Regions from separate parts of the Mus musculus genome. Here regions 1, 2 and 4 are each reported to be linked to region 3. Evidence: microRNA targets listed by miRTarBase, many of them from high-throughput screens and not tested one by one. Region 3 holds a microRNA gene; each other region holds the end of a gene's coding sequence.
What was found. Region 3 holds the annotated microRNA mmu-miR-3473c (UCUCUCCAGCCCCCAUAAUAAG, at 2,497-2,518, shown strand). A microRNA usually pairs through its seed, bases 2 to 8, with sites in the 3' UTR of a target mRNA and lowers its output. Matches are read on the target gene's strand: a 7mer-m8 pairs with bases 2 to 8, a 7mer-A1 pairs with bases 2 to 7 and ends in A, and an 8mer does both.

Region 1: the mRNA of Ndrg2 is a reported target of mmu-miR-3473c. Seed matches in the 3' UTR shown: 7mer-A1 at 1,862-1,868.
Region 2: miRTarBase lists Mpv17 as a target of mmu-miR-3473c. Seed matches in the 3' UTR shown: 8mer at 3,817-3,824.
Region 4: the mRNA of Epb41l1 is a reported target of mmu-miR-3473c. Seed matches in the 3' UTR shown: 7mer-m8 at 2,166-2,172.

The regions. Positions count from the first base shown.
Region 1 is chr14:51,901,969-51,907,631 of GRCm38, reverse strand. Ndrg2 (N-myc downstream regulated gene 2) reads left to right here. Exons shown (of 15, transcript NM_001145959.1): 10 at 3-47; 11 at 335-386; 12 at 636-683; 13 at 907-942; 14 at 1,068-1,119; 15 at 1,326-2,361. The coding sequence ends at 1,492. Among named protein-coding and RNA genes, the nearest start is that of Ndrg2, 8.7 kb to the left of the region's middle.
Region 2 is chr5:31,137,487-31,143,149 of GRCm38, forward strand. It overlaps Mpv17 (MpV17 mitochondrial inner membrane protein), which reads right to left. Exons shown (of 8, transcript NM_008622.6): 8 at 3,177-4,364. The coding sequence ends at 4,295. It overlaps Trim54 (tripartite motif-containing 54), which reads left to right. Exons shown (of 9, transcript NM_021447.2): 9 at 1-140. The coding sequence ends at 7. It overlaps Ucn (urocortin), which reads right to left and starts at 1,409. Exons shown (of 2, transcript NM_021290.2): 1 at 1,311-1,409; 2 at 503-1,047. The coding sequence starts at 1,034. The coding sequence ends at 666.
Region 3 is chr1:191,995,457-192,001,119 of GRCm38, reverse strand. It overlaps Mir3473c (microRNA 3473c), which reads left to right and starts at 2,486; the gene lies at 2,486-2,566. Traf5 (TNF receptor-associated factor 5) reads left to right here. Exons shown (of 14, transcript NM_011633.2): 13 at 1,152-1,322; 14 at 3,113-3,917. The coding sequence ends at 3,690.
Region 4 is chr2:156,538,229-156,543,891 of GRCm38, forward strand. Epb41l1 (erythrocyte membrane protein band 4.1 like 1) reads left to right here. Exons shown (of 25, transcript NM_001368800.1): 25 at 1,582-4,984. The coding sequence ends at 1,590. Among named protein-coding and RNA genes, the nearest start is that of Aar2, 6.5 kb to the right of the region's middle.

The sequences.
Region 1 (5,663 bases), not on the chromosome of region 3:
AGCCGCCGAGACCTGAACTTTGAGCGAGGTGGTGAGACGACCCTCAAGTAAGACATTGGTAGATGCATGTGGCTTTGTCCTGTCTCTGCCCTGCCCCTTGGTACCAACATCTCTTAACCTTTGTGGAGAAGTTACCAGTCTCCCTGATTCCATTCTGTGTAACAAGCTGTCTTCCTTTGGGGCTTCCCTCTCGATCCTCCTGCTGAGTCAGCAGGAGAAAGGCAACTGGTTCCTCCTCCTCCTCGGAGGCAGACACTTGTTTAGCTGCTTTTCTGGGAAGTGTCGGTGAGAGAGTACAAGGCTCACTGTCTTCTCCCTGACCCCGTGCCCCTAGGTGCCCTGTGATGCTGGTGGTTGGAGACCAAGCACCTCATGAAGATGCCGTGGTCAGTGGTGGCTTTTGGGGTAGTGAGGGAATGTTGGGGTCTTGTCAACACTGGGTTCACCCAAGCTGTGGACCTTGCCAAGCTGCAAACTCGAAAACTCTGGGGCAGGAGGAGCAACTCTAGGACCTTAGGAATTTGACTTGGGTTAAGATGTAATTGGGTAGGGGCTGACGAAAGGGAAAAGATCGGGGTCCCTTGGAGGGCTGTGGAGAGGGCGACCTGATTCATTCAGTCTCCTACCTATTCCAGGTGGAATGTAACTCAAAGCTGGACCCCACACAGACCTCGTTCCTCAAGGTTAGCGGGCCTCCTAAGCCTCACTTGCTCCCCGCTCCCCAGTCCAGGAGCATACATACTCTAAATTCCAGTGTCTAAGCCCTGTGGGTTCATTGTGGGTCAAGGGAGAGGAGAACAAAGGGGCTGAGTGAGGGACCTGGGAGGAGAGAGCCCCTTTCCCGCGGCATGGATCGTCTGATATCTCCATGTATCCTTCTTCCCTGGGTGTTTCCTTCCTGAGCAGATGGCCGACTCTGGAGGTCAGCCACAGCTGACTCAGGTGAGTATAGTGCCCATCTTGGGACGAGGAAATGGGACGTGTTGTGCCCTTTGCCATTGCTGTGACTTTCAAGATATCTAACCATCTCTTTCTCTCTCTTCTCTTTCCTTGTAATATGCCCACAGCCCGGCAAGCTGACAGAGGCTTTCAAGTACTTCCTGCAAGGCATGGGCTACAGTGAGTATTGGGACAGAGGGTATTAGGAAGGGCTTCCCACTGTGAGGGTAGACCTGTTTTAGGCTAATTCTTGGACTCATCATCTTACAAGGCAAGCTCGCTGATTCTCTGGCCGCAGCTCTTGTCTTCACCTAGGCCCCACTAGAAGTTACCAGCTGTCTTCCCCACTCATCTCTGATGGCTTGCTTATCATTGTGTGTCTACAGTGGCCTCTTCCTGCATGACTCGCCTATCTCGGTCTCGCACAGCATCTCTGACCAGTGCAGCATCCATCGATGGCAGTCGGTCCCGATCCCGCACCCTGTCGCAGAGTAGCGAGTCTGGGACTCTCCCTTCTGGACCCCCAGGGCACACCATGGAAGTCTCCTGTTGAATGACCCTCATTGCCTTGGTGTGGATCCCAGCCCTCACCTCCTGCAACACTAATTTAAGAGGTGTTATCAGGGCACTGGGCCAGAGTAAGCAAGGAAAATGGGCAGATTGTGCAGGGAGATGACCTTGATCTTTAATTGCTACCCTAACCTTGACCTTTAACCTGTGATATCCTCTAGCTCCTAGGTGAGGTGTCCTAATATCTCTTAGAGATCTGGGCCCCCTAAATTACCCCCTCTTCCATTTTGGTGTTGAGAAGGCTTGTATGTTCTCTCCCTGACCTAGGTTCTATAGATGAGGAACAATGAGCTGTTCTAGCTGACACGGGGCCTCCATCACTCCCCCTCTTTAGCCCATATTTGCAAGGGTAGGAGAGAGAGTGTGTGTGTGTTGTGTGTGTGTGTGTGTGTGTGTAGGGTTGATGGTGAGAGATGGGGAGCTCCTTCCCCAAAGCTGACAGTGGCTTTGCCTTGATGTGTCAGGCCTCTCTGAAGGCAATAGTCCCAAATGAATGTTTATCAGGAGAAGGTTTGCTGGTGGGTCAGTGATCCTTAATGTGATAGAAATATCCAGCATGTAAAAAGAAAGGATGGGAGATGGTGGCCCGTGAAGAACAGTGGTAAACACATTGAAGCTGGGGTAGAAGGGAGGGGCCCGGGTCCTTTGGCCACACTAACTTGGATAGCTGTCAGCGTGCACCTAAAGTGGGACTAAGGGAAAGAGCTTAGGTCCGACTGCTTGGGGCTTGGCATCAGGGTGGGAAGAGCTACCTCAGGCTCTGACCATACTGTGACGTGTAGAGCGTGACCTCCTGTCTCACACAACTTCTGCTGTGACAATAAACTATAGAGGAAACTGAACAGCATTGTTAATCCGGGTCTGAATGCGCCTGTACCCTGCCCCTTGCTTGCCTTTCCTTGTTCCTCTGAAAGCACCTGGGATGGCTTGTGGGGTATAAAAGCTGCACAGAGTGTGACCACGGGAGCCAAGAAAGTGGTGTCATTCTTTTTATTAATAGCATTTTTAAGCTTGGGAAAGAGGAGCTGTTGTAGAGATGTCATCAATATCATGTCCTTTAAGAAAACCGACTGAGGGGCTGGAGAGATGGCTCAGCGGTTAAGAGCACTGGCTGCTCTTCCAGCCGTCCTGAGTTCAGGTCCCAGCAACCACATGGTGATGGAATCTGATGCCCTCTTCTGGAGTCTGAAGACGGCTACAATATATTTATTTATTATATGTAAGTACATTGTAACTGTCTTCATACCTGCCAGAAGAGGGCATCAGATCTCTTTAAGGATGGTTGTGAGCCTCCATGTCACCTTTGCGTTACCTAGAGTACATTTTAGATGGATCATTCAGCAAGAGAGTAAACTCGGACACAGAGTGCTACGTACCACAGGGCACTGCTGCTTATAAGTTCATCCTATTTGTGATTCAAGAAGGTCACAGTCAAAGGGACTTCTTTTTAGGATTTTACTCACTGATGGATTCCAGGGGATCTGGGAGCAAAATGATGGTTCTGTAAGAGGCCGTTAAGCAATTATGAGTAACAACCATGGGGATTCAGATGTCTTGTAGCTGTCGCAGGTTCCTTCTTGGACTCTCGAGGCAAAAGGAGGGGGCTGGGGAGATGGCTCAGCATGTACAGTCCTTGTGCCACCATGACGACCTGTGTTCTGATCCCTAGCATACACTGAAAAAAAAAAATCTGGGTTTGACTGTGCACGTATAATCCCATGGCTGGGAGGCAGAGACAGGAGGACCCCAGGGGCTCACTAGTGGGCTAGCCTAGCCCATCAGTGGACACCATTTTCAGTTGGGACCTAGTATTGAGAGAACATTCTTCCTGAGGGTGTGGGGCTAAGCACTGTATGTCTCCTCATGACGCCCCAATAACAAAGCAAAGCTCAGCTCTATCAGAGTTCACCCTGGGGGGCCACCGAGTTCACTAAGCTTTCATAGAGATTATGGGTAACTTTAAGGCAGGTACCCTGGAAGGTCTGTACCCAGCCTAGGTGGTGACTCCCCGTTTGCGGCTCAGGTGGAGCTCTCGTCTAGTGTTCCCTGGGCTGTAGACTGTAGACTGCTCCCTCCCCAGGACTCCCAGGCCTCATGGAATTTGGCACAAAGGGCTGAGTTCTCAGGTGAGGGTCCTGTGACCCTGCTTCCTGCCTACGTGCCAACACGCCCAGGCGTGCTGATCTTTTACAAGCAGGAGTGACAACGGTGGCTGTTTGATTTAGAGGGTTGGGCTGGATGACACCCAGTCTCAAAAAATTAGGCGTAGAGTGATGGAGGAATCAACCCAAAGTCCACCTCTGCCTTCACACGTAGGTGTACAGACATAAACACTCAGGAGTACACTGTGAACATGCGCATGCGCGCGCGCACACACACACACACACACACAAATATGAAGGAGAAAGCACTTTATGAATTATGTAGATAGAATATTGTTTGCGATCATTAAAGCTTGCTTTATGGAAATCCCAACTGTCGCATTTCTTCAATGGCAGTGAGTGGGAAACTGGGCCCCTTGACATCAAGTGCTCACATTCCAACACGGTAGTGAGCCACTGTGTCCTTGTTGCTGAGGCTTTTCTTTCTTGTGCTGGGGATTGGACCCAGGACCTTGTGCGTGCTAGGCCAGTGCTCTACTACTGAGCTGCAGCCTTACCCCTAAGCCTATTTCCATGTTGTAGGCCAGTGTCAGAAGAGGGCGTTAGTGGGTTAGAGTTAGCTGCTGGATGGGTGTTGGGTCAGACAAAAAAGATTGCTGAAATGCCACAGGGAAAGAATGCAAAGCATGTAATCACTGGGGTCATTTAGCCCAACGTAAGGAAAAAGTGAAGCCCTAAGACCTCAACCAGCCTTTACTGGTAGAGCTGCTGTTGTGTATTATGGAAGGGAAGAGGAATCTTTGCTTGGTATCTGCCTACGAAAGTAGTACTGTTAGCAGAGTGATTTTCACATTTCATTTAAGTGTACATGTATGTGCATACAACTATAGGTGTTTCTGCTCCAGAATCTAAGGCAGGTGAAGAGGTGTTTTGCAGGAACTTGGGGGAGGACATTTGGTGTCTCTGGTTGACCCTAGTTTTTGGACCTACATAGTCTAGTTCACCTGTGGAGTCACAGCGCCGCCCTGTGGCCAGCCCCCAGTCTTACAGCCCTATTGTTCATGAACATAAGGCAGCCCTGAAACCAAGACCTGCTTTGAATCTTGTTTTTTTCCTAAGGAATTTGAGTGTCTTCCAGACATTAGGGGCAGGTGAGGTAAGAAACAGCTCAAGAGAATGAGAAATCAGAACAGAGTGAAAAAGGACCTTACAGTCAGTTTGAAGCTCTTATGAGTTTCATAATGACATTTTGGCCAGCCCTACATATATCTCACCACTTATGTGACAATAGACCCACAGTATTCTCTTACAGACGCCAATGGCTTCTTGGGTTGTGTAGCACATTCTCCAGTGTTTTCTCAACGACAAAAACATTACTGAATATATGCTTCTCAGAACATATCCTTGTCTTTAAGCAATATATAATTGTACAGACCTTACAGTAGGCAGAAGTGAAACCAAGATCAGAAGAAAGGTTGGAGTGGGAACAGCACCATTGAAAGGTAAGTCAGGAGTAACCTGAAAAGAGGGATGGATTCCGACCTGAGACTCAGGGTTCAGCAAGGATATATGGTGCCCGGAGCAATTTAACTCTCCCTCATGATGGTGAATTCATAGAAAATATAGGGTATACTCTGATAGGACCAGGTAGAGTCACTACGAACACAAAACCAGAAACCAAAACTAAAAACAAACAAAAAAACAAAACCAAAACCAACCAACCAAAGAAACAAAAAATCACCAAAACAAAACAAAACAAAACAAAACAAACAAAAAAACCCAACCCAAACCAAACAAAACCCCAAACCATCTTTTATATAGGCTGGGAATTTGTAAGCATCCCCAGAGATTGCATTTGAGGCATAATCTATTTTTGCTTCCTCTTTGCTAGTGCAATGGGCATCTCCTCAGGTTGCCGAGGGTGTCTGTGCTCCCACCCCAGCTCTGTAAGCTCTGGCATTGTTCTTTACACTCCACAGCTTCTTCAGGGAAGGACCGAGAGGCACAGGTTACCCCAGCAGAGTGAGTCTGAGGCTTTCACTCAACTCTCTC
Region 2 (5,663 bases), not on the chromosome of region 3:
GCACTGACCCGACTCTGATCCAGAGCGCACACCCGAAGCGGGAGCCAAGGGATGCTGAGGATCTGCGCAGAGACCACCGCGCCACCAAGCTCGGCTTCCCGCCCCCGGGAAGGTTCTCAATAAAGGACTCAAGTGTCCCACGTCCTCGGCTCCTTTTGCTGTCCACTCCTAGGCTCAGCTATAGAAGCAACCTCGCCATCGCTCTACCCTTTCTCAACCCCAGACCATCTGAAGGGGCGGAGGCGAAATAGTCCCTCGTGGCCATTCCCTTTACACTAGAGGTTGCCTCCTAAGCCGGAGACCCTGAAAGGGTATCAGACCTCCGAGTTCCGGGATCTGGCGGGTTGGGGGAAGGGCTCCCAGGAATTTAATAGGCTTCCTCTCCCATCTCATTTAGCATGCTTGTCTCTCCTACCGGCCTGGAGAGCTCCACTTTCCCAAAAGTTCTTACCCTAACTGTAGTTGCCGGTGCCCTCTCACCACTATGACAGAAGATAGAGGCTAAGCTCTTGGGCAGTTTTATTAAAAAATAACCACTCAGAGTATTCAGGGTGACTCTGGGCGGCGCTGCACCGCGGGACTGAGACAGCTCCGGTTGTGCGCGTTCCAGCCCCGGGGTAGGTAAGGGAAAGGGTCAAGGCTTTCGTGACCCCATACGGGGCCGATCACTTGCCCACCGAATCGAATATGATGCGGTTCTGCTCTGCGCGCTCGCGCTGGCTCTGTGTCCGAGCTAGCTCCAGCAGGGTCCGCAGCAGGTGGAAGGTGAGGTCGATGGACAGTGGAGGGTCGTCCCGTCGCTGCCGCTCGCCCGCAGGCTCAGATCCTGCGCGGCGCGGGAAGCGCTCCGCTAACAGCAAGAGGAGCGCGCGGACGCCGCCGCCCTGATTCCGCACTCCAGGGCTCCATCGCAGATTCGGATCCTGGACCCCAGTTGCCGCCGCAGCCGCTGGGCTCCACTGGCTGCTCTCCGGGCGAAGCTGTGCCAAGAGCAGCAACGCCACCAGGAGCGTAGCGCGTCCCCTCTGTATCATGGTGCCGCCTGCCCTGGACACACAGGGGCAGCATAGGGTGAGGTGCACTTGGAGCAGCCGCAGGTAACACGAGCCCCTTGGCGCGCACGCCCAGTGCCCCTGCCGAGACCCTCCAGCTGTTGCCTGGTGTCCACATCCTGCCCACCAGCCCTAGGCGCTGTGCCAGTCCAGTTCCACCCCTCTCTCCCTCCTTCCCTCCCGGCAGGTCACAGTGGGTGGGCTGAGTGCAGAGTCTTGGTGGTAAGGGAGTCTGGATCGTTGCTTCAAGCCACTCACAGGTTATCGGAGTGTCTGCCCAGTGCAAGATGGAGCTCCACTCTGTCCCCGGGGACGGGCTGAAGACGCCTTGGGGAGCACGGGGTCTGTCCCGGGACCGCCGCCAGCCTTATATAGCACCAGGACAGCTCCGACTGACGTCAGCGAAGAACATGAACTGATTGTAGAAACAATGACACCGGCAGCTTTGAGTCCAGCAGCTTCGAGCCCCCAGAGGGGTGCGTATCCTGACTTTGTGTCCCTGGAGCTATCTTTGGAAGCACCCTGGCTGTAGAGGGAGAAGCTGGCAGAGCCATAAAGATAGATCTTCCGGATGCAGAGTCCTTCCCCGACACAGAACCACCAATGTCTCCAGAGCAGGAATAGTCAGGGGTTGTTTCTCTTCTCAAGTAGAGAGGGAGGACTGTGGAGCTGTCCGTGGTTCCGAACTTCTTCACAGCCACAATCTGGACAGAAGTTCTGGGGAGAAGCCTGGGCTGCTTAGACACGGTCCCTAGGCCGGCTACTGGGTCCTCAAATTGAGATCAGAAATGCTCTGCTGGCAGGGGCTCAGACAACACAGTCCCACCCAAAGGCTCTCCAATACAGTGGGTCTGACCCATTCTACTGACCATTGTACAGCAGTACAAACTAAAATCTACAGGTGTCAGAATGGCATAAAAGGGTGTTTGGCTTTCAGAACTTAACGTACCTCCTGAGTTTGGCAAAGTCAGCTTTTTCCTAGGAAACACAGAAACAGTACTATTATACCTTTTTACCTTCTAGGTCAGGAGCTGGGGTGGTGCTGGTGCACTCCTTTAATCATAGCACCCAGGAGACAGAGGCAGGCAGATCTCTGAGTTTGAGGCCAGACTGGTCTACTGAGCTGGTTCCAAGACTACACAAAGAAACCCAGTTTTGAACACACACACACACACACACACACACACACACACACACACACACACACACAAACACACACACGAAAACGAAGAAATCACTAGGTAGAAGTGAGAAAACTTTGGCCCAAGTTCCTCCTCTGCCACCAGCTTGTGTAGTCAGGTCCCTCACTTCTGAAACCATTGGCGTCTGTCTTTGTAAATGAACAGCCTCTGCTTCTTTCCAGTTACAGACAGGTCTGTGCTCTTCTGAAGGGTCTTATTCATAGCCACTGCAGATCCCAGATAATAATGTATCTATTTCTGTGCCTATAAAGTCCCTGACAGGGTCTCGAAAGGCACTAGGACCTAGAAAAGTTAAGCGTGATAGCCACTCTAGTCTAGGGATGTTGCTTAGTTGTTAGAGCACGTGACTAGCATCCACAATGCTGAGTTCAAGTCTCAACTCTAGACAGGAAGTTGTATCTATACAGAGTGGGGACGTGTGCTAGCTATTGGGACATAGGTGTAAAGTTGGCAAGGTCATATTATTCTACAAATATCTGTGAGGAATATACTATGTGGTGGGAATGTAGACAGTCATGCTGCATAGCAACCTTTTAGTCAGTGATGGCAACACACAATGGTGGCTTCAGATAATCATAGCGGAGCTGAAATATCCCTACCACATAGCAGCATTAGTTCTTATGTCTCAGTTTGGTGCATTATTCATGAATCTGCAATAATGCTGGTGGAAACAGACCAAGCTGGCAGTAATATGGAAGTATATCTTGTGCAATTATGTACAGCGTATACATCTTAATGACAGTGTTCTACATATGAAAAAGCTCTCTGTAAAACAGTATACCATGTCAGACTGGCAGCAGAAAAATACACCACATGCTTGTGCACGAAGAGGCCATGTTGAGCAACTGATTGTTACCATCTGCATAAGTATACTCCTTATGTGTGCACAGTGACAAAACTGCTAAAGACACAATTCTTGTTTGATTTTAAAAAAAGATTTATTTATTTAATGTATATGAGTACACTGTAGCTGTCTTCAGACACACCAGAAGAGGGCATCAGACCCCATTACAGATGGTTGTGAGCCACCATGTGATTGCTGGGACTTGAACTCAGGACCTCTGGAAGAGCAGTCAGTGCTCTTAATCACTGAGCGATATCTGTAGCCCAAGACACAATTCTCTAATCCAGCATTTGAGAAGCTGAGAAGCTGAGGCAGGATTGTCACTAGGTTGAGACTGACACAGACTTTCATTTTTTTTTTTTTGGTTTTGTTTTTTTGTTTTTTTTCCTGACACAGGGTTTCTCTGTATAGCCCTGGCTGTCCTGGAACTCACTCTGTAGACTAGGCTGACCTTGAACTCAGAAATCTGCCTGCCTCTGCCTCCCAAGTGCTGGGATTGAAGGCATGTACCACCATGCCTGGCTTCCAGGACACAATTCTATATTAATTAATTAATTATTAATTAATTAATTAAATATGAGTACACTGTAGCTGTCTTCAGACACTCCAGAAGAGGGCGTCAGATCTCTTTACAGATGGTTGTGAGCCACCATGTGGTTGCTGGGATTTGAACTCAGGAGCTTCTGAAGAGCAGTCAGTGCTCTTACAGGCTGAGCCATCTCTCCAGCCCCCAGGACACAATTCTTATAGTGTGTCCCCATCAGCTAAGGGCCAGAGTGACAGCAATATTATAAATGTCTTAGTGGTTAAAGTGAAATGTGCCACTTCAGAGTGGTCACCCTATTCTGATCAGCAACCCCATAGCATGGAAGCTGACACACTCCTTCCTTTTAAAGATTTCATTGTGTGCTTAATTACAAATGCGTGTCTATTCGTGGGTATATACATGTTTGTGCAGGTGCTTCAGAGGCCAGAAGAGAACATCAGATCTCCTGGAGCTTGAGACATAGGGAGTTGTGAGCCACCCGATGTGGGTGCTTGGAACCAAATTTAGGTCCTCTGTAGAGCAGATAATCCGTGCTTCTAACAGCTGAGTCACCGCTCCAGTCCTGATGTGGTTAGTTTGAAGAAGCTGTCCAAGCATTCCAGGGTCACGGTGCATCAGTACAAGGTGCAAACCATGGAACAAGGCACGCTTAGAACTGATGTGCCTTCCAGGATAGGTAGGAGTTCCAGACAATAGCAACACACTGGACAACAGCCAACCTAAGGGACAAGAATGCTACTGTGAAGAAGAGAAGGAGCAGGGTAGGGAGAGCAATGGAAAGGACTTACGCAGGAAGTTCCAGGTTTGGGCTGTGTTCCTCTGAGCCCCATGAGTAGGGACTGCAGCTTCAGACCAGGAGACAACCAGTTCAGTCCTGCTCTATCTCAGAGCTCCGCCTGTCAGATGAAGGCCTCACAGCTCACTCCTTTTCCTTATTAATTTTGTCTATGTGTGTATGTATGCACATGAAAGTCAGAGGACGACTCTGGGGAGCCGGATCTCTCCTTCTACCATGTGGGTTCCAAGGCATGGGCTCAGGGCATCAGGTCTGGCAGCAAGGGCTCTCACCCACTGAGTCATATCACCCATCCAGCAGCTCTCTTTCAATAAATGACTCGTCTACCTAGACCTTTCCAAATATATCTGTATACCTTATATCAGCCAAGATTTCACTTCTTTTTATTTTATTTTTTTTTTAAAGATTTATTTATTTATTTATTATATGTAAGTACACTGTAGCTGTCTTCAGACGCACCAGAAGAGGGCATCAGATCTTGTTATGGATGGTTGTGAGCCACCATGTGGTTGCTGGGATTTGAACTCCGGACCTTTGGAAGAGCAGTCGGGTGCTCTTACCCACTGAGCCATCTCACCAGCCCAAGATTTCACTTCTAAAAATAATGCCCTGCCTGCTGTCATCCATTCACATCTATCTATCTATCTATCTATCTATCTATCTATCTATCTATCTATCTATCTATCTATCTATCTATCTATCTATCTATCTATCTATCTGGAGGGAGAGAGAACACTTATAGTCACTAGATCACCAAAGACAGTCTTGAACTCTTGAACACCTGATCCTCCCACTTTTGACTCTTTGGTGTCAGGATAAAAAGTATGCACTCTCATATCTGGCCTTTCCAGAAGATCTAACCCTGGTTCCCAGCACCCATACCTGGCAGATCACAATGGTTTGTAACTCTAGTTCCAAGGAACCTGATGCTGTCTTTTTGTGTCTGTACCCCTGCTCACACATGTACACAGCCACACATGTTAAAAAACAAAAAACAAAACTATTTGTTTGTTTGATGTGAGATAAGCTCTCTCTATATAGCCTTGGCTAGCCTAGAAACATGCTCTGCAGATCAGGCTAGCCTCAAACTCATAGAAATCCAACTGGATATGCTACCCAGCAAAATTATATATATATATATATATATATATATATATATATATATACATATATATATATATATATATATTTTTTTTTTTTTTGGTTTTTCGAGACAGGGTTT
Region 3 (5,663 bases):
CCGGGTGAGATATGGCTTTTTCCATTCAAAGCTATGATCAGCTTTTAGTGAGCAGCAAGGGGTTTTCTTCTTAGCTTTTAACATGAAAACCATTTCAAATGCATAGAAAAGCCACCAGACGTGGGTGATGCCAGGGGCACCAGTGCAGCTCTCCCACATCCCATTCAGCACTTCGTCCCATTTGCTCTGTTTCTGGCACCCTTGTCTCTTCTGGGTGTGGCCAAGGACCACCAGAGAGAATACCGCATGTGTGTGGCCCTCTGCAGCTGACAGTAACACTGTCTCGTACATGAGTATATCTATACCCATGCTGGTAAATGCAACGTTTATACCATACTTCCATGGTATGTGTGTAAAATCATTAATTCCCTTTGGGAAGGGCATGCCTTAAACATCACTCGATGAATCCTGAATGTTAACTAACCACAAATGGACCCCTAACAAATAAAAGTTCTCTCATGACCAGATTTGTAGTGATTTAAAGACATATAACATGGGCAATGTGTTTGAAATGTGTATTGTTCCAGGAAATCTAGGCCATAGAAGCTTTATTCTTCTTCACCACAGCATATACATATATACATACATGTATGCACCTGTTCTACATGTGCTGGGCACGTATGTGCAGATGTGTGTGCACATATGTATATGTATGTGTTAGTATGTCTAGGAAAAAAAAAGGAACCTATCACACTATTAGTTCTGACATTTTCCTAAACAGAGAGCAATAGGGTGGAATTAAGACTATATGGGCAAGGCAGACAGATTAATATCCTCCATGTGAAAGATCCATAGAGTGTGTAGGCTCTGCCTGCTCCTGCCCAATCTTGACCTCCTTACAGAAAGGAAACTTTCTTCTGAGGGAAGCAAGGCTAAGGCAAGAGGGCCACAAAGTGCATGTGAATACATGGAGGGGAGACTTTAGACACATCGGGGAAAGCTCAGAAATTCACCAGAGGAGTCCAGCCTGGAAAGGAAGAAGAAGATGGCAGCTGCTGACTCTGCCATGTCCACTGAACCCCCTCTCTGGACACTGCCACTTCCATTTCATGAGTGGATCATTCTATGTGAAATGTTTGTGTTAAAATTCAGTCAACACGCTACAAATCCGATGTCTCGTTTCCAAGACATATTCTCTTTTTTGTACCGCAAGGCTCTCACCAGTCACACGGACAAGTCAGCTTGGCTGGAAGCGCAGGTGCGGCAGCTGCTACAAATAGTTAACCAGCAGCCAAGTCGACTTGATCTGAGGTCTTTGGTGGATGCGGTTGACAGCGTGAAACAGAGGATCACCCAGCTGGAAGCCAGTGACCAGAGATTAGGTACGTGTGTGTGTGTGTGTGTGTGTGTGTGTGTGTGTGTGTGTATGAAGCAGTCGGGTTCCCTCTCATGGCTTCCCTGTCTGTGTGCATTTGTGGTAGAAGCTAACAAGTCACAACCAGCTTTCTGGGTTGCCCAGTGGCTGAATCCTGTTTGTGAAGCAGCATGAGATTCTAGCTGCCTCAGAAAATGAGGGTCTCCACCATGTGTGTGGAGTCAGACGAGACTGAAATGGCCCAGGCAGTCCCAAGAGCTGGGAGTGGTAATCATTAAGAACAAGGGAGAGAGGTGATGGGTGTCTTAGGCTTTGGTGCACTGGGGCCAGTGAGATTGCTTAGCAGGTGATTTGCTATGCAATCGAGATGACCAGTGTATCAGTGGCTTCTCTGTTGCTGTGACAAAGCACCATGACCAAGGTAACTTGTAGGAGGAAGTGTTATTTGGGCTTATGATTGCAGAGAAATAAGAATTTACCACCATCTCATAGAGAAACAGCAGGCAGGCAGGCATGGCACTGGAGCAGCTGCTGAAACCCCAAGCCCAGTGACACACCTCCTCCAACAAGACCACACCTCCTCCAACTAGACCACACTTCCTCCAACAAGACCACACCTCCTCCAACAAGACCACACCTCCTCCAGCAAGACCACACCTCCTCCAACAAGACCACACCTCCAACAAGACCACACCTCCTCCAATAAGACCACACCTCCTAATCCTCCCCAAACAACCCACCAACTGGGGACCAAGTATTCCAATGCTTAGGACTTAGGACACACAACTCATTGAAACTATAACACCCAGAGTTTGATCTCTGGAACCCACACAGTGGAGAGAAAGAACCAACTATTGAAAGTTGTTCTATGACCTTCACATGTATACTATGGTGTACATGCCTTCACTTACACACACACACACACACACACACACACGCACGCACGCACGCACGCACGCACGCACGCACCACCAACAGTAACAACAATAACAATAATAATAAGACTTTATAAAGATATTTATTTATTTGTTTTATGTATGTGAGTACACTGTTGCTCTCTTCAGACACACCAGAAGAGGGAATCAGATCTGATTACAGATGGTTGTGAGCCACCATGTGGTTCCTGGGATTTGAACTCAGGGCCTCTAGAAGAGCAGTCAGTGCTCTTAACTGCTGAGCCATCTCTCCAGCCCCCATAATAAGTCTTTTAAATGTAAAATTCATTATAGGAGTTGGGGAGATGGCTCAGTAGATAACACACTTGCTGCACACATGACCTAGAATTTGGATCCTTGTAGCCATGTGATTGCTGAGTGGACTGGAGGGCTACCTGTGGTCCTAGCACTCTGGAGGCTGACACAGGATCTCCAGGACAAGCTAGCCAGAATATCAGGGTTTAATTCAGTGAGAGAACTACATCAAAAGACTGAAATACTACTGGGGAAGACACTCAGTATCAACCTCTGGCCTCTGTATGCCACAAGCACCTCACAGCCAAACACATGCAAGTATGCACAGACACTTACATCACAAGCACACTCGTGTGCATGCATGCACACACACACAAACACACACAGTTAGACGGGCACAAGGCTCAGCATGAGAATTCACTCGAGGTGAATGTCCAATGTGTCTTATACTCAGGCAAGCTGAGAGTGAAGAGGGAGGATACATCCATGTCTGCTTGGCGTCAGCTTACCACGATTGAGTTAATGTTAGCAATGCATGTAGTAGTTCACAGGTAGTGCTCAGATGACAGGCCCGAGCTGCAGCCTCCTGTCCTGTGTTTCCTTCCAGTTCTTTTAGAGGGGGAGACCAGCAAGCACGACGCACACATTAATATCCACAAAGCACAGCTGAATAAGAACGAAGAGCGGTTTAAGCAGCTGGAGGGCGCCTGCTACAGTGGCAAGCTCATCTGGAAGGTGACAGATTACAGGGTGAAGAAGAGGGAGGCCGTGGAGGGGCACACAGTGTCCGTCTTCAGCCAGCCTTTCTACACCAGCCGCTGCGGCTACCGGCTCTGTGCCAGGGCGTACCTGAACGGGGACGGGTCGGGGAAGGGAACGCACCTGTCCCTGTACTTTGTGGTGATGCGCGGTGAGTTTGACTCGCTGCTGCAGTGGCCGTTCAGGCAGAGGGTGACCCTGATGCTTTTGGACCAGAGCGGCAAGAAGAACCATATTGTGGAGACCTTCAAAGCTGACCCCAACAGCAGCAGCTTCAAAAGGCCAGATGGCGAGATGAACATTGCCTCTGGCTGTCCCCGCTTTGTGTCGCACTCTACTCTGGAGAACTCCAAGAACACCTACATTAAAGACGACACACTGTTCTTGAAAGTGGCCGTGGATTTAACTGACTTGGAGGATCTGTAGTGTTACCTGATAAGGAAACTTCTCAGCACAGGAAAAGGTGTGGCTGTCCCTTGGGCGCAGCCCTCTGGACTGAGCAGGCTCTTGTTCTTGTCTTCCTGCCTCCGATGTCTGATGTGTCATCTTTTTATCTTGGATCCTTCCCTGGTTTGAAACTTTAAACTCTTGAAATATTGCTGTTATTTATATTTTTGTATCTTCCAAAAAATTATAATAATTTGACAACAAGGCCTGGGGCTCCTCTCTCTCACTGAAGTCTGGGAAGTGTTTTCAGGGAGTCCAGTGCTCAACGGGACTGATACAGGGGCAGAATTCCCACTGACACTCGTTGTCATTTATCAGCTGACTCAGTGCTTCCACACCTGAGCCTAGGCCTGCAGCAGCCATCTTGTAAGAGACAGGCAGGCTGTGCCAGTCAAGTGTGGGCAGTGTAGCTACATATGCTGCATTTGGACCACAGATCTTCAGGGAGATGCCAACCGCTTGGAAATCGCATCGCCCTTTTGTGTTTTATACAGGATCCACTAGCTGCATGTAAGCACAGTTTGCCAAGTTGTATAACAGCTAGGAAATGGGTCGGCTCTTCGTCCTTCTCCACTAACACAATGGGTGCCAAGGAGTGGATGTTTAGTGAACCGAAAGTTCAGAGTTCATTAGGTTTGACCAGGTGAGAAGTATTTTCTTAGGTAAAATTGTCAACTATACCAGTTCACACAACTCAGCCAGGTGACCTTTGCATGGCAGTGGGTGTGAGGATGAGCAAATTTGTTATGACAGAGAAAAATATGAGAAAAGGACAAAAGGGGAACCTGTTCACCATGGATAGCAGCTGTCTGAACCCTTCTGTTCTTCTGGAAGAACTTTTAAATTCATATGCTGACCAAAAAATGAGCATTTGTAGAAACTTGCGGAGTTTCCTGTCAACATTTTGAGTGCTCTGAGAGCAGAAATGACCGGGTTCTTGTAGATCTGTCTTTGCAGTGGTTCTCAACCTGTGAGTTACGACCCCTTTGGGGGTCAAATGATCCTTTCTCGGGGGTTGCCTGAGACCATCAGAAATCACAGATATTTGCATTACCATTCATAACAGTAGCAGAATTACAGTTATGAAGTAGCAACAAAAATTATCTTATGGTTAGGGGTCACCACAACATGAGGGGCTGCGTTAAAGGGTCACAGCCTTGGGAAGGTTGAGACCCGCTGGTCTTTTGGGTCTGTCTGTCCCTTCAGCTCAGTAAGCCTCAGACTGATCTGCCCTCCTGCCCTGACTGAAAATGGGATCCGTGCCATCCTCCACTGCTCATGTAACATTGGCTCCTAAGCACGGAAGGACAAGTGTCCTGGGACAAGGGTCACGTTAGAGGCACAGGGGAGGCTATGCTCTTGTAGATGGCGCTTAACCTGTGTAAGAGACAGAACCTGGGCTGCAGAGATGGCTCAGTGGCTAAGGGTGCTTGCCGCTCTTCCAGAGAATCTGAATTCAGTTCACAGTGCCCATGTCAGGTGGCACTCCAGCTCCGACATCTGATGTCCTCTCTCTGGCCTCTGTGGGCATCTGCACACACCTTCACATAGATGCTCACAGATAGACAACCATAAATGAATCTTAAAAGTAAAACATGGGGCTCAAGAGATGATTCAGCAGTCAAGACTGCCGGCTGCTCTTTCAGAGGACACAATTTCAATTTCTAGCACTCACTCGGAAGGCTCACAACCACCTGTAACTCAAATTCCAAGGGATTCGGTGCCCTCTTCTGGCCTCTGTGGGTACTGCATCCATGTTTGCAGACATGCATGCAGGCAAAGCACCCAGCCACACAAAATAAAATACTGCTTTTAAGTAGAAACTGCTTACCTGACTAGCCTCTGTGAGTCCAACAATCCTCTTAATCTCTTCTGTGATCAGTGAAGATTCTAGAGCCACGCCACAGGACTTGTCCCAAAGGATGGAAGTTGAAAAAGCAGATGTAGCATAG
Region 4 (5,663 bases), not on the chromosome of region 3:
GAAGTGTTTCCCTCTGGGCGGGCTACATGAGGATGCATGCAGATGAAAGGTTTTCAGTGCTGGGTACCAATGGAGCAGATGCTTAGCATGGGTGAGACCGGTCCTCTCCTCAGCACCACTCCCCAAAGTCAGACCCTTATTGCCCTTGCATCTGCGCACTGTATCCAGCTCACACATTATACTCAGCGCCCACCTCAAAGGCCCCACAAGAGTAGCTGGTTGCTCAGAGGCCTTAACTGGCATGCCCACAGCTACAGTGCTGGGAGCTGATTAAAGTGTTAGACTCCAGAGTCCCCTGTGTTCCTCACCACGCTGACTTCCCATGCTGTCTGTCTCACAGAGATTATTCATGCATGGTAACTACCATAGTGCCTGACGCACAGTACGCGGTCCCTAACAGTAGGCCAGGCACTACCATCTGTCATGGTGGGCTAGCAACTGCTGACCCTCAACTGAGAAGAATGAGTTGCTATCTACAGTATTGTTTAGATCCTCCAGACCCACCCCCTTCAGAGACGATCTGTCTCCCAAAGGCAGCCAGCAAGAGGACAGCACTCACCTGGCTGCCAAAAGCATCCTCCCCTCCTCTCGCTCACCTGTCTGGGAGGGGAGAGATTGGCCTGTTTGAGAACAGTAACCTTGGACTCCCACCTACATTCTGCCACCACCTTGCTAAGCCATAGAACCCTCTGGGCATAAGGTTTCCTCAGTCAAATGAGCCAAGAAGGACTCTTGTATGACACTTGGATTGTACCCGCCCGAGCCTATGCGAGTGACAAGAGTCAGGAATGCAGTTCCATGTGACAAGAGTCAGGAATGCAGTTCCATGTACATAATGTCTTGAGTAGCTGCCACTGAATTAGCAAGGTGAGTAAATGGTAGCTCTTGCTATTGGGAGTCAGGGCAAGGGCTACAGTGAGCAAGTGTATCAGCAAGGCATTTATTCAGCATTCCTATACACTAGGCCCTCTCCGTGCTGTCTCTGTCTGTGTAAGGTAGGTCCCATTTTATAGGGAGGTTGATGGAGGCTTAGAGAGTCGACACACTTGCCCACAGTGATGGAACAGACAGCCAGGGGTAGGAAATGTGACTGCAGAGTCCTTACTCCTATAGATGACTAAGTGTTAGTCACAATCCAGGCTCTGTGGTTTTGGTTTTGGTTTTGGTTTTGGTTTGTTTGAGCACTGCCCTTTAGTCCTGACCACAGCATGCCCATGGGGAATAGATAGGAAAAGCAAAGGAAGCCAGAAGACCCGCAGCCAGGGTGAAGCAGGCAGAGAACTGAGAGGAACAAGGGAGAAAAGCAAACTGATGGGGACCATAGCATCTCCACAGTAAAGGACTGTTTAAAAGGTTGTCAGAACAAAGCAAAAGACGTCACCTCCGCACATGCACACACATGTGTGCACACGACGCTGGAGTTAGGTGCGTTTGAGTCATTCCCAAGTAAGTTGTATAGCCTTGGATAGATCACTCTCTTTCTCTCTGAGCCACAATGCAGGTAAAAGGTAGCTAAAACTGCTGCTGTGTGTTTAAAGGCGAATGGGTAAAGTAACTAATTTCCCACCCTCTGGCATCCAGGAATCCTGACCTCTGTGAAGAGATGCTGGCGTGTCTGGTCCAACCCAAGCCAGAGAGCCATTAAGAAGGGGCCTTCACTCTGGATTCTCCGACAATACCAACATCCCAGCTGCGACGTACTGTCACTGAAGAGAGACTGGGAAGGGAAAGCATATATATATAGATATATAGAGATATAGATATATATACAGGAAACACCGCGTCCTTGCACCGCTGCTGGGGCTGGCGGAGCAGTCAGCTGATGGCCACGACCAACATCTGCAACAACCTTCATTTCCTTTGCAGACAAATCGAATTGGTGGGAATTTTTTTTCAGGAAAATGTATAACAATCATAATCTCTCACTCCCCAAACCCCTTCTCCTGCAAACTAAAAAAGCAGACCGCCATGATTGTAGACATTCCCTTGAACCCCAGCTGCACAGACTCCAGGATGGACGAGCACCCCGTTTGTTCTCCAGCCTCTGTTGCTCCCTCTAATGCAAAGGAAGAAAGAAATTAGATCACGGAGCCAAGGAAGAGAAGTCACAGCAGCAAGACACGCACGGTTGGCTATTTGCCAAGAAAGAATGGAAGTCTCCCCCATGGAGAGGAGGAGGAGGAGGAGGAGGAGGAGGAGGAGGAGGAGGAGGAGGAGGAGGAGGAGGAACGCTCAGTTGTTCCTTTCTGGGTCTTGACACTGGGCTGCAAAATCCCTTCTCTGTTCTTCTGCCTCCCCGCTTCACCCTTGACCTCTACTCATCCTGTCTTCATATTCTGTCTCAGCTCCCCTCTGCCTCTCTCCCAACCCTCCTGTTCTGTGTCCTGGTCCTGCTGAGGGCCACTGCAGGTAACTCTCATTGGAAGAAAAAGAAACTACAAGAGCAAACAGAAGCCATGGGAAGGGAAGTAGACACTGTGTGCTTCCGGTTTCTCATGACGGAGGTGCAGCTTGTAGGAGATTATATGACTGTGATTTTAAGTTATGTATATTACATGTAACAGGAAACAAATATTAAAATAAACTGTGCTGGTAAGTATGCAGCTGACATTTCCAAGTTATAATTACCTGACTGTGATTGATGTATCCTAAGGTTCCTAGATCTTGCCAAACTGGCCCAGCTGAGAACACTGGACTCTGGGTGTGGCCAGCTCCCAGTAGGGCTGACAGATTCAGTGTAGTGAAACTGTGTGTGGTGTTTGTAACTGGGTGATTGGTGGGGAGAGTGGAGAAGCCCTCCGTGAAGAGGTGAGGGTTCCGGCCAGAAGGGAGCAACACAGATGTCATCCCGAATATGCCAGGCCAAAATGCCTTCTTCCCCAGCAGTAGCTGCCAGGGCCTGGTCTGTGCTCAGGACACTACTGCTGAGGTTCTGTAGGTCAGTCCTCCTACCTCCAGGGGGCTCGCCTTGGTTTTCGGTCCTCTCTCTCTCTCTCTCTCTCTCTGTTTCCTATTACCAGGGTCTTTGTTTGGGTTTGTGCTCGGCCATGTCTTGCTCTGCTCCTCAGCACCTCATCACAATGAGTTCTTTAAAGGGAGGTGGGGTCCTAGCTAAGGTGGAGAACAGCGACTCTAACCTGGTTTTCTGAAATGCCCAGCCAGCCTTTCCCCTCTGCCTCTGTCTGTCTTGTGAATCATCCTCTTCTTCCTGAGCTAAAGTAGCCACGATAAAGAGGCCATGAGCACAGGGAAGGCCACAATAGGCCCATGCTGCATTTCCAAAAGCCTCAGCCATCCCTAAACTAGAGCAGGCTTGAGGAAGTGTTGCCATCCGGCTCCATCTGCATCAGACCCTGGCTTGCAGGACCTCCATCAGTCAGTATCTAAGCTCAGAAATGGCCTTGAGGTGACAGGAGCCCTTGGAGAAAACGCTGCCACAGGCTGCTATTTCGGCCTGGCACATACAGGCTTCCTCTGGCTTGCTCTCAATGTCTCTCCCTTTCTGAGTGAAAGTATCCCACGGCAGTCCCATCTCACTTCCTGTCCTGCTAAGGCACTTCATACATTTAGTCAACAGATGTTTACCAGTTTCCTGCTTGTGTCAGGCTCTGTTTTCAAGGCAGAAGGAGAGGGAGGGACCTGGGAAGCCACTGGACAAGCCTGTCTGTCCCTATCCATAGCTGGCTCTTTTCAGTACCCTTCTTCACGCCCTCCACCTGATGAGACAGTCCCGTGAAATGTCTCCGGGAGAGCCCCGGCTGGATGTGTTCTCTTGGCTTGCTTCTTGGTTACTCTTGTGATGTACACCTTCCCTACTCACAGGTGCTGGCCTGACACAGGGCAAGAAGCTAGGAGAGCTTCTGTCTCTGTGGCAGCTGAGACGAGCCAAGCTCTTAGATAACAGAGCCAGCCATATGCCCCCGGTGCAGGCTGGTAGGCCTGCCCTGCTCCAGTGGGGCAGCACATTGTCTCTGCTCCAGGATCTTTGGCCATTCTTGATGGAGAAGCCACAGAACCTCCCTCCTGCTCCTCACGGCATGCAAGCTCCCACTGCTTCTCTGAGCCCGGAGCAGGAACGGCTCTATCACCTTGGAATCAGGCTCGGGCCTCACCTACTTTTGCAGGAACTCCCCGGCCTGAACACACAAGACATACATACCTCAGAGGGAGCCTCATTGTACCTGCTCTGAATGTGGGCTACAGGGCAAGGACGAAATGACCCAGCTTAGCTCGTGGGACATTAGGGTTTGGGGAGATACTTACTCCATGGATGTTCTGACCGGTTCTTACTATTTTTTTTTCTCCCAGAGAGGCAGTCAGTACCCCGCCCAGGGAGGAGGAGACCTGCACAGCTAAAATCTAGGGCACCGTCTCCTCCCCCTCCTCCACTTCATAGAGAATAAGGACGTTGTGTTGTCTGACTTCAGCCTACTTTTTCCTTTTGCTTTTTTTGTGTGTCTGTCTCATCATCTCTGTGGCACCTCGCTCTCCAGGGGGCCAGGTAACAGTGAGAAAAGCCACCTAGAGCAGTCAGGGTTCCAGGTGAGCATCTCAATGCAGCTCCTAACTCACCGTGTGACACTGGGCTGTCCCATTTCACATAACTCAAAGGACAGGGCAAGCATTACACCCTGAGCCTCTTTCCCATTCTGTGTCTCATGCGCCTTTGTTTTCCCCACGTTTGCTTTCTGTGAATCTTTTCCACACGAGGGCAGAGGAAGTGCCAGGAGCTGTTTCAGTTTCTGAATCCTGCAAGCACATACCAAGACTGGCCTGAAATTGCATGAGCAACATCACTCTAGATATCTATTTTTTTTTCAAAAGCACCTTAGCAGCCACCTGCAATGCTGTCCTGTTCCTTTTCTCCCAGTCCCCTCTCTCCTCTCTCGTCCCCACGCTTCCCCACCTCAGTGCTCCGTGCTGTATGCGTGTGCTCTCTGTTCTTGTATAATCAATAAAAGTGAAATAAATGTGTTTGATGCTGAACCATGGACTCCCTCAGCCTCCCTCTCTCCCCCTCCCCTCTGCCTCTCCTCTCTGACCTTGGCTGCTGGTCCAAGCTGATAGAGAACTGGAGTGGAGATACCCAACATCCAACACTTTGGTTTTGCTTTTGAGATAAGGTCTCACTACATAGCCCTAGCTTGGAATTCAAAAGAGACCCACCTCCCTTGCCCTTCCTCGTGCTGAGATTGAAGCCAGGCTCCAATCTAGGCTCTAATATAGAATAATTTTAATCAGGAAATGTCTAGAGCTCCCACGGCACTCACGCCTTGGCTTAGGCTCCCTGGGCGCAAGCGCAAAGCCCTTGCTAGTCAAAGGCTCTCAGTCCAGTGCGGGGGAACAGTGAAACAGGAAAAAAAAAAAAAAAACTGGCTAGAGATCAGCACATGGAAGGAGACATGTTGAGGAAGGAGGTGGAGAGGACCACTTTAACAAGACCCCACCCCTCACAAAGATAAAAAAAATAGTGGTTGACCAGTTGAAGGACTTCCCTAAGGAGATCTTTTTTTTTTCTTTTTGAGCCAAATAAAGAGAAAGAACCAGTAAGACTTTCTAGGCCAAGGGGACAGTAAGTATATGGGTCCCAAGACCTGGGAGGGGAGGTGTAGTGTAATCTGTCTTTTTGAAAGAAGAGCAACTCCCCACGTGGGAGCCTAGTG